Notamacropus eugenii: one gene and its partner. The protein of the gene in region 2 purifies or fractionates together with the protein of the main gene of each other region. This does not show direct contact. Links are inferred from orthologs where the notes say so. Each region holds a gene or a part of one and is shown on either strand. Other genes may lie near its edges.

What was found.
Region 1: the proteins of RPP21 (region 2) and RPP40 purify together in Homo sapiens (co-immunoprecipitation; 3 studies listed by BioGRID and IntAct, counting the BioPlex papers as one, with this or other methods). This does not show direct contact. The link is inferred for Notamacropus eugenii from reciprocal best matches to the Homo sapiens genes RPP21 and RPP40.

What each region holds. Positions count from the first base shown.
Region 1 is NC_092875.1:174,898,754-174,906,502, forward strand, and holds the start of RPP40 (ribonuclease P protein subunit p40), read right to left. Parts: upstream 3,051-7,749; 5' UTR 2,827-3,050; coding exon 2,704-2,826; intron 1-2,703. UniProt on the Homo sapiens protein: Component of ribonuclease P, a ribonucleoprotein complex that generates mature tRNA molecules by cleaving their 5'-ends. Also a component of the MRP ribonuclease complex, which cleaves pre-rRNA sequences.
Region 2 is NC_092873.1:84,415,991-84,422,712, forward strand, and holds RPP21 (ribonuclease P protein subunit p21), read left to right. Parts: upstream 1-4,876; 5' UTR 4,877-4,995; coding exon 4,996-5,052; intron 5,053-5,143; coding exon 5,144-5,244; intron 5,245-5,331; coding exon 5,332-5,414; intron 5,415-5,672; coding exon 5,673-5,798; coding exon of another isoform or gene 5,799-5,829; intron 5,830-5,962; coding exon 5,963-6,060; 3' UTR 6,061-6,141; downstream 6,142-6,722. Other genes in the region: E3 ubiquitin-protein ligase TRIM39, read left to right, coding at 408-430, 936-1,051, 1,558-2,105. UniProt on the Homo sapiens protein: Component of ribonuclease P, a ribonucleoprotein complex that generates mature tRNA molecules by cleaving their 5'-ends.

The DNA.
Region 1 (7,749 bases), on a different chromosome or scaffold from region 2:
GGCTTGGCAAGGCTCTCAATTAATCCAGGTCATCCCCAAAGCATTTAAGAATAAAACTGGAAGCATCACAGCATATTTTTTAAAGGGGGTAGGGGAGGGAAGATCAACCTTCTAATAGTTCTATCAAAGTATTTTATTTTCTCCATTGAAGACAGTTGAGTTACTGTATTTGGACTCTTCACATCACAATCCTCCGATATTCTTTAGGAAGAAACAAAAACGCAACGAATAAAACACTTTAAAATGCAAACGGAAGTAAAATACTTAAACTAACATTATCCGAGGCTTTATCTTTCTAGTCCACAACTACTGGATTAAGTTGGTGACAAGCATCAGGTAAAAGTCACAAAGGCTTCCTGCCTCTTGTCAGGGAGCCGGTGGGCACTATATGTAATGTAGAGGGAATTTCAAACTTAACTATTTAAACAAGCTGTGTTTAAATGTATAAATAAATGGAAATTTATTTTTAAAAAAATGTAAAATGGATAAAAGAAGGGTCCTTGGAATATGTAAAGTCTGACATAGCAAATGGGTTGATTTTGGAAAGAAGGATTATGAATTTAAAAAACACTTCTTAACTGAAATAAATACAAATATTGGAGGATATTAAATGTTCACAGATGTCAATATAATCAAAATGATAATACTGAAATAATTTGCAGAGAAGTACCATAGGTCATTTTACAGAAATAAGCAAAACAATAACAAAATGTATCTGGAGAAACACAAGGTCAAGAATCTCAAGAGCAATTAAATCAACAAGGATTTATCAGTGCTAACTATTAACATAGTTATTAAACGCCTGGCACAACTACAATGTACCAGGCTCTGTGCTAGCACTGGTGATGCAAGTTCAAAGAACTAAAATAATCTTGATAGTGTAAAAAATAAGCAGGAAGGAATGAGACCTGTAAGTACTGGATCTCAAACTATATGATAATGCAATCATTATGAAAGCTTCTTGATGCTGATCAAAAATAGAAAAATTCATCAATGAAACAGAGAAAGTAAACAAGACCTAGAAGCAAATAAGCATAGAAACAGAGTGTTTGATAAACCCAAGTTTATCAACTACTGGAGTAAGAACTCCCTACCTGACAAAAATTTCCAGTTAAATGGCAAACTCCCATTAAAGCAGTCTAGAAGAAATTAAGTTTTTAGAGGACAGTGATATGGAAATCACCCAGTTTCAGTTCCAAAATGTACCAGTAACTTAAGAGAACCTTTAGATAAGTCATGTAATAAATTTCACACCTTGATTAACTTCTATACCTGCAAAACAGGGACAGGTCACAATGCCTGATCCCGCCATCACCTCATCAGTACACTCTATCAAAGCACATGCTAAATTTTATTAAGTAAACACATTTTTATCACCATGGTAATTAGGGGAAGAGAGTCAAGTGTATCTTCTTTGTATCTCTCTCCCGTTAGAATTCAAGCTCTTTGAGGGCAAGAGCTATTTTCATTTTTTTCTTGGTGCCCTCTGCACTAAGCACAGAACCTAACAAATACCAAGAGATCAATAAGTATTTGTTGATTAATATACTCCATAAAGGCGAGAGCTTTGGTAATTTCAGAATTCCTTCCATTATTCACAAGTGTAATCTGATCTCCTATTGCTTGCCTTTTCAAGGCGTAAGAACACAGAGAATTTATATCAAAATTTTTTTAAAAATGATTATAACTTTTTTTACATGTAATTGAGACATTTAACGAAATAAAAAAAAAATTCCTTACAAAGCAACCCCCTCCATTCCCCAAGGCGGGGCTGACTTTGATTCGCAACTGCGAACGATTGCAAATGCATTTGTATCCAATTAGTACTGCACAATGTTTTGATACATACAATATACATACAATGTGTACACACACACACTATACAATTGTATCCAACTAGTACGATACAATATTTTGATACATGTAATATACATACAAAGTATATACATACACACTACAATTGTATACAATGAGTACTACCCAATTAGCACTTTTTGGAAATGTAACCCTCAAATAGGGGTTAACCACAGTCTTTTGGCTTAAAAAGGAAAGTCTTCAACAAAAAGGTGGTGGGGAGGGGAGAGCCTAAGAAGAGTAAACCGGTAAGGGACTGGGGGCTGGGGAGCCAGCACCGGGCCCCGGCAACATCTCGTCAATATTCCTCTCACTGCCCCCCACTCCTGGGGTGACACCCATGGGGGCCCCAAACTCTAGGAGACCGAAGAGATAACAGGAGTGCGCCCACCAATTTCCAGGACTTCTTCCAGCATGGCACTGGGCACTAGTACCAGGGGTTAGAAAACTGAATTCAATTTACTCCTCAGTTTCCCCTTCCGTAAACTAACGGATTGGGACTCTTGGATATCTCCGCAGGGATGTTCCAAGGCTAGAACTGAGATTCCCCAAGGCGAGTCCTATGCCGGCGGCATTGTGGGAGTTGTAGTTTTCCCAGGCGCCAGGACCCTCGGCCACAGAAAAGGCGGAACACTACAACTCCCAGGGCGCTCGGTGCAATCCTCCTCCGCCCCCGCCAGCGCCCTCCCACGGGCCTCCGGGATGTGGCTGGAGAGGAGGCGTGGCGTGGGGAGCAGGCGCGAGGTCCGGGTACGCTTGAGGGCAGCGCCGCCCTCCCCTCCCCGCTCGTCCCACGGGGTGGCGCGGACCACGCCGGCGGGAGAGGAAGTTGCCATGGGCGGGACTCACCCTGTAGTTGTGGTAGTGCGTCTCCACGTGCTGCCGGTGCCGCGACTTGCCATGGCCGAAGTTGGACTTCTCGCACACTAGCAAGTGTCGTGGCGTTTCCTGCAACCTGCGCAAGGTAGACATGGTCACCGGGCCCGTTAAACACCCCCGGGCACGAGAATATCGTATTTTTGCGAACTAGTGACCGCGCTGCGCATGCTCAGTGCTTCCCTCTGCTCTCCCACGTGGTTGGTGGGAACACGCGGCCCGCGGTTCTGTGTCGTGATTGGACGAAACCTTCGGGAGGCAGTCCCAGGAAAAGGATAATTAGGAAGGGAGGGGCTAGGACTGTGCGCCTCCTCGAGACAGCCCTTCCCCTTTCCGTCTTTCCTTCCTTCCTTCCTTCCTTCCTTCCTCCGTCCCTTGCCTCCCCTCCTTCCCTTCCTCCTTCCTCTCCCTCCTTCTCCCTCTTCTCCCATCCCCCTCTTCCTCCTTCCTCTTTTCCTCTTCCTTTTATATTCCCGGTCAGTTTAAGAATCCACATGATCAGAGGTTCTTTTCTACAATGTAGATTGCAATGAATCCTGAGAGACCAGACCCCCCCCCCCCCATAAGTTAACCACGGGAGGGGGCGGTCCTAACCACGAGGGAGCTTTTTTTTGTGCTTTTCCTGACATTACCGTGTTACCAGTGAACTAATAATAATGAATAACCTTTCTATGGTTCTTACGACGGGCTAAGCGCTTTACAGTTACTGTCTCCTTCGATGCTCACAGTCACTCCGGGAGGCAGGTGCTGGTATTATCCTCATTTTACAGATGAGGGAACCGAGGCAGATACAGGTGAAGTGACTTGACCCTCCTCGGCTGGTAAGTGTCTGAATCCTAATTTGAACTCAGGACTTGTGTTCAGCAGGCTCTCCAGGGTGCCACCTACCTGCCCCAGTACTTCATAGTTCTTAGGCCATCCACATCTAATCTCTCGTCGTTGTCAGGGCACAGGCCTGAGTTTTCCAATCATTCGCTTCTTTCGGAGCCATTTATTCCCGTTTCAGTCAATAAACATTTATGTAGCCCCTACTGTGTGCTAAGCACAGTGCTAAGTACTCGGGATACAAAGAAAAAAGGCAGTCCTGGCCCTCAAGAAGCTCACAATGTGATGGAGCAGACAAATATGTACAACAACCTATATACAAATATATGTATTTCCTATATACAGGAAATAATTAACAAAGGAAAGAAGTGGAATTAAGGAGTTGAAAAGGGTTCCTAGAGAAAAGAGGATTTTAGCTGAGACTTAAAGGAAGGCAGTAGTTGGAGAAGAGGCAGGAGAGCATTTCAGACATGGGGGGAGACAGATAAAATGCCCAATGCCAGTGTTTCTTATTCGTTATCTGCCCTATCCAGCTCATATCCTCCATAGCTGCTCCCCTGCATAACGCTCATTTTTAAATCCATGGATACTGTAGAATCTTGTGTCCTTCAACCAGACAATAGTTTTTTAAAATACAGACTTGTTTCCAAGACAGGTTACTTTTCATATCTATGGATAGGGAAAGAGTTCATGACTAACTAAATGACAGAAAGGATCAGGTAAGATAAAATGGACAATGTTGATTATATAAAATTTTAAAGGTTTTGTACAGACAAATCTAATGTAAAAAATAGAAGGGAAACAGGTGATAGAAGGAGGAGGGGGGCATCTTTGCAGTTAGTTTCTCTAGGAACTGATGCAAATTTATAAGACGAATAGCTATCCCCTTGTTGTTTGTCCTTTGTTCTCAGAGGACCGTGACATCATGGAGGTGATGCCATGACATGCAAGTGAATTGGATTTGAGTGAGGGAGGGCTGTTGAAAGTCACCAGCCTCAGTTTCTTCTCCAGAGTCATCTGGGTCCAGTGGCCAGATACACATCAAGATGACTGGAGATGGCCCTCAGATTCATGGAAGACCTTGGACTTTTAAAGCTAAGGTCTTCAGCAGGTCTCAGTTTGACTGAGGCAATGCTCATTCAGTGATTGACTAGGTAAACATAAATGAGGCAAAGAATGACCTCTTCAGCCTAGTTCAGAAAAGAAGAAATCACACTGGGAGGGGAAGACTCACAGGGTTTCTCATCAAAACAGAAACAATTCCTGTTTACATTCTCTGAGTCAATAAGAGCCCAAACTAAGATGAAGTAGGCTTTGGCCTGGGCCCTATTATTGGCCAATTATTGAGAGCTGTTGCCCAGTAGATAAATGGCCAAAGGTTATGACCATGCAGTTTTCAAAGAAAGAATCCAGACTATCAAGAATCACATAAAAAGTATCTGAATCACTAATAATTAGAAATATATAAGAGCAATTCAGAGGTTCTTCCTCACACCTATCATATTGACACATATCACTGGTAGGCCACTTTCCCAAAGAAATCAGAGAAAGTGGAAAGAAGATCTATATGTATAAAAATAATTTTAGCAGCTCTTTTTGAGGAATTACTAAACAAATATTGGTATATGAATGTAATGGCATGCTCGGCCTAATTGCCGTGGGCTACCCGAGTCTGCTTACCTTTCACAGGTCTTCGGTGATCAGGTGGATAAACATATTGAGAAGAGACTTTCCAGAGTCAAACAAGGTGGTAGGCTTTATTCAGGGTCTTAGTTACGTATCCATATGCAGGGCGAGTTCTTCCCCAGGAGAAAGGAACCCCTCTCCTCCCAAGGAGCAAGGATCATACAGCAAGAGGACAGGAGCGGAAGAGAGGAGGGACCCTCTTCCCTCCAAGGACCCCGACGCAAGGGGCCCCCTCAGGCTTTCCTGTCCCTACTTAAGCTCTCCCAGCCGCATAGTTTGCACGTGAATACCGTGCGTGCTCCCAGCCCCTAGCTAATTAACAGCAGGTGTGCTCAGACCAAGGACCAATCTCAAGGGTGGGATGCTCTCCCCAGCAAGTTTCCACTGAGAAGAGGTGGAAAAACAAGATAGCCCATGTTTCACTCCTGAATTCCCAGCAGTTCCCTGGGGGGGCCTCATGAGAGCTCTGAGGTTTAGAAGCCCTCACCTTTACCTGACCCGAGACTGTTCACGTTGAGTGGAATAGGTTTAGTGAAGACTTCTCAGATTGTAATTCTTCTCCCAGGGGTGAGGTAAGACTGAGAGGCTCAAGGTTACTATATTTTTAGAACAGAATAATTCCATATAAGGATATAAAACTGTGTAGTACATTAGGGTCTCAATGGTTGGATAAAGTTTACCTAATTCTTCAATGTCTTCATTTCAAAAGGGATTGGTTAGATTTCATGTCTAGAATGTAAGATCATATTCTCAGCTAATGAGAATAATGGTCAGTGAGGGGGGGGAGGGATTTGCATTAGGGTCTATATAAATCACCGCCTTTTCTTTGTCTTCGGCTTTTTCCTGGTAGAGGAATTGCCTGATTCTTGAGAATCTAATAAATAAACTTTCTGTCATCACTTTGAGAGGCCTCTGAGTAATTGATTTAAGTAGGGATCTGAGCCATCCCACACAACGTGAAAACTGAGCTTACACCCCAACAATGGCATATAAATGTGCTAGAAGAAATGATGAAATGGAAAATTTCTAAGGAAACTGAGAAAACCGCTATGATAGAGAGTGAAGTGAGCAGAACTAGAAAACCAATTTGTAGAATGATAAGAGTATAGAGAAAAATGACTTTGAAAGACTTTAGAACTCTGATGAATACTATAATAAACCAAATGAATAAAAATGGAGGTGGAGCCAAGATGTTGGAGTATCAGCCAGAAGTCTGCTGAGCTCCTTCCCCTTCCCCACCCACACCCTTGCCAAAAAAAAAAAAAAAAGGAATTGAAGCAGTGTGCCACACTTTCTAGAAGTTTGGCTGCCTAGGAGAGGAAGAAATAGGAAAATAACAATTGACAGATTCAAGCAAAACTGGGTGATTGTTCTCAAGATTTGTGGAGGACAGTTACTGGACCTGTTGTTTCTTTCATAAAGGGAAAAGCAAAGTGAGGAAACCCTCTCCCAATGCAAATTAGCACCTTCTGTGAAATTTAAAATCTTAGAAATTTGTCTAGAGCAATAAGTGGTTAAGTGACTTGTCCACGGTCATACAACCTATGTATGTCAGAGAAGGGACTTGAACCCGTGTTGTCCTAGCTCTGAGGTTGATCCATTACACTGAACTGCCTCTCAAGGACAATAGAGAATTATCTAGAACAATGATAGGTTAAGTGACTTATCCAGGGTCACACAGCTGGACTTACTGTCCTAGCTCTGAGGTTGGTTCTCCAACCATTACAAGACAGTGGATAGTAGTAGCATATTAGTAGACTGAAAAGAGGGATCCAGAAGAGAATGGATCTGAAGATGTGTGAAAGAGGAGGTAGTTGATGGATCCAGGTCAAGAAAGAGATCAGAGGGGATGAAGTAGAATCAAGGATACTTCCTTAACTTTGGGCTTATCGTTGCCATGGGGGATCACCTCATCCTCTAAGATTAGAGAGAAGGAGTTGAGGATGGGAGAAGACACTGAAAGATTAAAAGAAATGCAGGAGCCAGATTGAGGGAGTTCAGAATTAAGAATTGAATTTCATTTCTCTCAGGTTGACATCAATCCATTAATTATCATCATTAACAGCAAGCAAATATTAAGTGCTTACTGTGTGCAAGGCACTATGCTAGGCACTGGGAATACAAAGAAAAGCAGTCTGGTCATTCTACCAATTCTGAATCTATTTCACTTTGCTATCATCCAGCCCATCTTTCCATCTTCCCCATAAGGCTATAAGGAAAGATGTCATCAAATATCTTGCTTAAGGTCAGGGATATTATATTTATGAGAGTCCCTTGATCTGTGGTCTAATAAGTAACCTTGTTTTTTTTAAAAAGAAGGAGGTTAATGCATTATTTCTTGGCTTGTGAATATTTTGAAGTTAATAGTTGGGAAACAGTGACAATTAAAACTTTTTGGTAACTATGGGATAATTTTATGTTTACTCTTAATGTCATGTCTGACAGAAATGTGAATTTCATTTTATTACTTTAAGATAGAAGTGAGTCACTTTGTTGAGGTCTAGGGGC
Region 2 (6,722 bases):
CTTCTGATATAGGACTTGAACTCAGATATTCTCAATTCCAATACCAGCCTCCTATCTGCTATGCAGGTTGTGGAAAAACACAGCCAAACATACCTTAAACAATTTGGAAATAATTTCTGAGTTTCATTTTAAAGGAACAAAGTTGAACCTCAAATTCCAAACCAAATAGAAGGGATATGTCAAGTGAGGCTCTGAGCCCCATCCAGAATTTTCCCCTTCACACTTGGCTCTATCCCCTTGTCCTTCCTATTTCTAGGATGTTTTGCTTTCTCTAAATCAACAGATTGGAGACACTGAACACCTGGGAACCTTGGGGAGGACTCTCAGGGCTGGGATGAGCTAAAGGCGGGGCAGGAGTAGGAGGGCAATAAAAGACAAAATTAATTCTGCTCCCTTCTCTCCTACAGGATGTCAAAAGCACACTGGAAAAGTAAGTGACTCCTCCTTGGACCAGCTGCCTGTGGTGGGGGGATCAAGGTCAGACAGGGCCTTAGTGTGGGAGAGAAAGGTCCCTAGCACTGAGAGGCACGAGGTCACTGGAATGGCCTTGACAGCACCCTCTTCTCCCAGTTTATTGCTTATATTTCCCTAAACACTGAGCGATGACGGAATTCAATCCTGTCTCAATCTACCAGTTGGAATGGGACCTAGAGGAGATGGAATAAAGGGGTACCAAGGGACCTATAGAGAACTCGGAAAGGAGAGGTTATTTGGGGACCCTGTGCTGCCCCTCCCATCTTCCCCCACCTAGCAGACTGGATTAAGGGAGAGAATCAAACAGGAGAGGAATTCTTGGCGGTAGTTTAGGGAGCAAGAAATGGGAAGGACTGGAGATCACAGCTTCTCTTTGAAGACTTGGATAGCTGTGACCCAGTTGCTTAGGGCATTTCCTTGATCTGGCCCCTTATCCCCACTCCCACCCCACCCCCTCCCAGATGTGAGAAGGTGAAGACCATGGAGGTGACCTCGGTCTCCATTGAGCTGGAAAAGAACTTCAGCAGCTTTCCCCGACAGTACTTTGCCCTAAGGAAGATCCTTAAACAGCTGATGGGTGAGTTGGGCCAAAAAGAGAACTAGCTGCAAGAATATATAGGGAGGAGAGGTTCCTTAGGTCTTTCCCCTCTGCCTCCTGAACCCTTCCTCACCCACCCACCTCCCTTGACTGGCCTCCAGTCTCTCCTTATTCTTTCTTTCTCATACCCTCAGCCTTGTCATCTCTCCTTCCCAACTTACTATTTCCCTCTTTCTGGCCCTCAGTCTTTGCCCTTCCCCCTCTTCAATACATTGGGGCAGATTTTAGTGAACCAAAAAAATGGAGAAAGCTGAAACCTGAATTAATCCCCCCCTAGCCAATTAGCTTTTGGATAGTCAAGAGTTTGCTCTAAGTGAACACATTGGGATTAGAATGAAAATAGTATTCTCCCTCCATCATGGAACATGAAGGATTAAAAATCAACTAAATATAGTGATTGGGGGATAATAGAGAAGATAGGCCTTACAGAGTTAGGTCCATTGCATCTTTCCCACCTTCTCCCTTACTCTGGCCTCTTCCTGCAGCGGATGTGATCCTGGACCCAGAGACAGCTCACCCTAACCTAGTCCTATCAGAGGACCGAAAAAGTGTCAAGTTTGTGGAAACTCGGCTTCGGGACTTACCTGATACACCTCGGCGCTTTACCTTTTACCCCTGTGTCCTGGCCACAGAGGGCTTCACCTCAGGTCGTCACTACTGGGAGGTGGAGGTGGGTGATAAGACCCACTGGGCAGTAGGTGTGTGCCAGGACTCTGTGAGCAGAAAAGGCGAGCTAACTCCACTACCTGAGACAGGATACTGGAGGGTGCGACTGTGGAATGGGGACAAATATGCAGCCACGACCTCACCTTTCACCCCTCTCTGCATAAAAGTGAAACCCAAGCGGGTGGGTGTATTCCTGGACTATGAGGCTGGCACATTGTCTTTCTACAATGTCACTGACCGCTCCCACATCTATACTTTTACTGATACCTTCACTGAAAAACTCTGGCCACTCTTCTACCCGGGTATCCGAGCAGGGCGAAAGAATGCAGCACCTCTTACCATTCGGCCTCCTACAGATTGGGAATGATGATGGGAAGGAACAGGGTGGGATGTTGAAGTAATGATGACAGGGGAGACAGGTATTTGGAACTGTGTCTCTTAATTTCCTGTGTCCTGCTGCTAGAGGTTTCCTTACTGTCAGGCTTATGTCCTGTATTCTCCTGGAGAAAGTGAGGTAGTGGGAGGGAAGGTTGTCCTAGGAAAGAGACTGGGCCTGGAAGAGAGTCTCAAGAGATCACACATCTGGAGACTGTTCTTTTCCCATTATGTGAAGAGGAGAGGGGAGAGGTTTACTGAAGGTAAGGCTGTCTTGGTTGCCTGCACTGTGCTCCACCAGTTTCCTCATTGCAGGAGGACTTTAGGTGGTCCCCTTCCCTCCAAAACAGAAGTAGGTTCGGAGAACCCTAAAGCCTCTGCCCACCCATTTTGGGTGATTCTATATGCCCAGGACAGTTTTGTTCCTTTGAGGGAAGCAGGATAATCTCTGTATCCCTAGAATGAAATAAAGGTTAATTGTCAGTCACATGGGAAGAAGAGTGTTAAAGTTGGTCTGGGGCAAAGTCTAAAAAAATGGGGAAAGAAGAGTTAGGAAAGGGGTTTGAAGAGGAGCCAGAGGAGGTTCCAGCAACAGGGAAGAATAGAAAATGAGCCTCCTCTTGTCACTTTACCCTAGCCAGGTGTGGTGGAGAAGAAGAAAAAGCAATACCTCCTCCAGCTTTCATGGAGTCAACCTATCTATCTATTTCCCCTGGTGAGGGGTAGAGACAGAAATGTTTTGAGCCCAGAAATGGCAGACACTACTCTGGATGACTCAGGAATTGTAGATAGAGAAAGAATTGTTTCAACTTGTCCTTGCCCTGAAGAGGGTTTGAATAGCTTGGGGCTCAAGCACAAAGGTAATGGGGAAGTAGCAGGATTGGGGTGGGGGTGAGGGGAAGCACTGGATTTGGGCTTTGGAAACAGGTTCAAATCCTGGTTCTATCATTTAGTGGCTGTATGATCTTTAGCCAGTTTCTTGCCTCATCTGTTAAATGATGGGGCAGATTATCTCTGAGATTCCTTCTATCTTATTTTAATACTGACTGTGCCATTAATGGAACTAGAAATATATGTTTCTCCTCACCCATCCACTCTTTATACTTGGGGCTGTCAGGATGGGTGGGGTGGGGCCCCACAGCCATTATAAGTTTATAAACTGGGATTTCCTACAGCCTGTCTTTAAATCCTGAATCCAAGCTTCTAAACCTATTACCCTTTATCATACCTGATTACCACCATGTTCAAACTAAGTCTGGCCAAAGTAGAAAAAAGGCAGATATGTTGCCAAAAGCATTACACAGTCCAAAACCAAATCGTTTGTGGCTGTTGGTAACCAAGACTTCACATACAAACAGGCATCACCATCACAAGCTTATAGAGTGAATCAGATTTGTCCTGGCTCCCTGCCCCACCTCCCTTTAAAGAAAGGTTTTATCTTTAATTCTTTGCCTAGGCCCCTATTTTTGTTGGTTATTACTGGGCTAGTAAAGTTATGGGAAATAATATTAACCCTTAAATATGTTAATACTGAGCTCTAGTGAAAAGCTAATAGCATCTATTTTGTGGAGAACAAAGCAGAATAAGGTTAAAAATCTGCCTACCATCTTTCTAATTCATCAGGACTAGAGGTAGAGAACTAATACCTTTTCATTTCAGTTAAGTTATTCACACATATGATCACAGAACTAGAACTGGGAGGAGCCATAGAGGCACTTTACAGATGAGGGAACGGGTTCATGGAGGTTAGAGAGTCACAGTGACAGGTAGCATGAGAATTCAGGCCTGCCTCCAAAGCCAAGCCAGTACTCCTTTACTTTTGGCCAGACCTATGATTTCACTAATTCCTCGTTAGGCCACAAAGTTTGATAGTTTCCCAGGGCATCCACTTAAAAGTGGCATTAAGGTCACAGGGCCAGTACATATCCTACAGTAGATACAAATGTACACTTTCCTGATTCAAAAGCTAGCCCTCTATCATGTTCTAGAAGGCATCTAAAAGTGTGATGAGAAAAAAATCTGTAATTTTTTTTTTTTTTAATCTCTAGCACTACTCATCCTTGCTTGTGGGGGCATCTTGGGATATGAGTTTCCAGCAGATCTACACTACCCTTTTTGTCTCCGGTCCCTCCACTGTCATGTGAAAAGGAAAGCTTGTTTTCCTTAGCACTTAAGGCTTGCCAAGTGCTTTATGTCATCTTATGCTCCCATACCCTTGTTTGGAAGGTTAAGATTTCATGATCTTTGAATATGGGAAAAGATGTGAGATGCTTCTGTCCTGTAACCTTGAAGAAATAGAAAAGGTTATACAACCCTACAAGGCAGACACTGTAGTGAAAGGCGCTGGAGCTGGAGTCTTAAGGACCAGTTTGAGCTCCGACCTTATTAGCTGTGATTTTAGGTAACTCATTTTGGCCCTGTTTCTTAAGCTGTAAAAGTGTTGGATTGTGATCTCCTTAAGTTCTAAATGTTGCTTTTCCATCACTAGTTACTCCCTCTCTGTTTATCGAGATTTGGCAGGTCTTGGGTGGAGTTAGAGAGTCCCACGAAGAAAGCAAAAGGGGATCTTTGACACCTGAATTCCTAGTGACATAGAAATTGGGACGGGGGAGTAGAGGGTCGAGTTAGGATAGAAAGGTGACAGAACGGAGGCAAAGAGGGTTTAAACGAGTTGCACGTGGTTGCACAATAAGTGGCCCGCTATGCTTAGGAGGCGGGGCCTGGGTGGAAGTATCCGCCGTAGGAGGGGGAGGTTCCCCTTTTGAAAGTATTTGCTTATGTAAAGACCGGGGAGACTACAACTCCCAGCAGGCACCGCGCGTGTAGTACGCGGGGCGGGGTGGCGTTCGAGGAGGCCGGGGTGTGTACGGACTGCAGAGGTGATGGCGGGGCAGGTGAAGGATAAGGAGGCTTTTCAGAGGCTCAGCTTCCTGTACCAGGTAAGGGTGCGACGGAGAGAAGGGCAGGGGAAGCGGGGCGGGCGGGTTCGCGTGGGCCCAGGAACGACCAGCGCCGCTTCCCCCTCGCTAGGCTGCCCACTGCGTCTTGGCCCAGAACCCCGAGAACCAGGCGCTGGCGAGGTTTTACTGCCACACGGAAAGAACCATCGGCAAGCGGCTCGTCCTGCGACAGTGAGGCTGCGCGGGGGGGGGGCGGGGGGGCACCTGGGCGGCGGGGGAGGCCCGACGGTGACTTCATGTCGGTCCTCGCCCGCTAAGGGACCCTTCGGTCAAGAGGACCCTGTGTCGCAGCTGCTCCTCCCTGCTCATCCCCGGCCTGACCTGCACCCAGCGGCAGCGGCGTGAGTGTTCCCGCCGCCCTGAAGGGACGAAGTGGGAGTGGTGACGGGCCGGACCGCCTTACGTTCTGGTTTAGGAACTCGTGGGCCACGCCAGGTTATCTCTAGCCTTTGTCGTCTTTACTGGTGAAGCCCCACCTCGGGAAACTGGGTTGGGAGTCCCCGTCTGTAATGTTTAGGGGCCGCTGGAAGCTTTAGGGCTGGGGACCCGTGGGAGGCCAGACAGGCCTTCTCTACACACTCTGCCCCAACCCCTCCAAGGTCGCCTGGGCCAGCGCTGGACCGTCCAGACTTGTCTAACGTGCCGTCGAAGCCGCAGATTTCTCAATGACCCCAGACACCAGCTCTGGGGGGACCGGCCTGAGGCCCAGCTGGGGAACCAGGCCGGTGAGGAGATGAAAATATTCCTAATCGCCAGGTGGAATAAAAATATGGGATGAATTAATCAGGGGAAGACCTTATATCAAGTGGGATGGGAGGATGGAGGTAGAGTCTGGGTGGATGCCAAGGGACACTGTTGTGGATCGAGCTTTTTCTGCTTCTGTCTCCAGACCTCAAATCCACTAGGTCTGTAGCCCACACAAGCCATCAAGTCTCAGCCCAGCCATCAGGGGAAAAATTGCACCATCAGGACCTCAGAATACAATGACTGAGAGGGTATCTTCTGCAAAGGCCTAGGAAATATGGGCTGTCCTTCAGATAAAATGTTCACTAAAGTACTCAAAAGTTTTGTTCTGGCTCTCTTTATTTGTGTCTCTAGCGTGTAGATCAAGTCTTTTCTTTGCCACAACTTGTAAAGAAAGAGCCCTGGAACTGGAGTATTGGAGTTAGAGAAACCAGTTTCAAATACAGTCTACAAGCTGTGGGGTACAAATGGAAATAAGAGTAGCTGTAAAACACATCCACAAATAAAAAGTCATTCTATAAACCAACTCTGAAAGTTTTGAGAGCTGGAAACCAGAACATGAGTGAAGGTCCCATTAGGCAGGGGATCCATCATGAAAGTCAGTTTGAGACCAATTCTAGCCAGGTTGGAATGGAGAAAAGAATGGTTGAAAAGACATTCTTTGAAGGAAATAACCTGTGTAAAGATGTGTTAAACCTAGTCATGAGCAATGAATTCACAGTTCCTGACATGATAGTGTTTCATAAAACCTAAAAAAAATTGAATGTAGAAAGTAGAGATCTTGGAAATCTTTTGATCCAAACCTCACATTTTACAGAGATGAAATTGATGAAGTTCAGGGGCACCCCAGGATGTTGGGGTGCAAAGTTAATCTGGAAAGAATTTAGCTCAGATTGTCTCTAAAT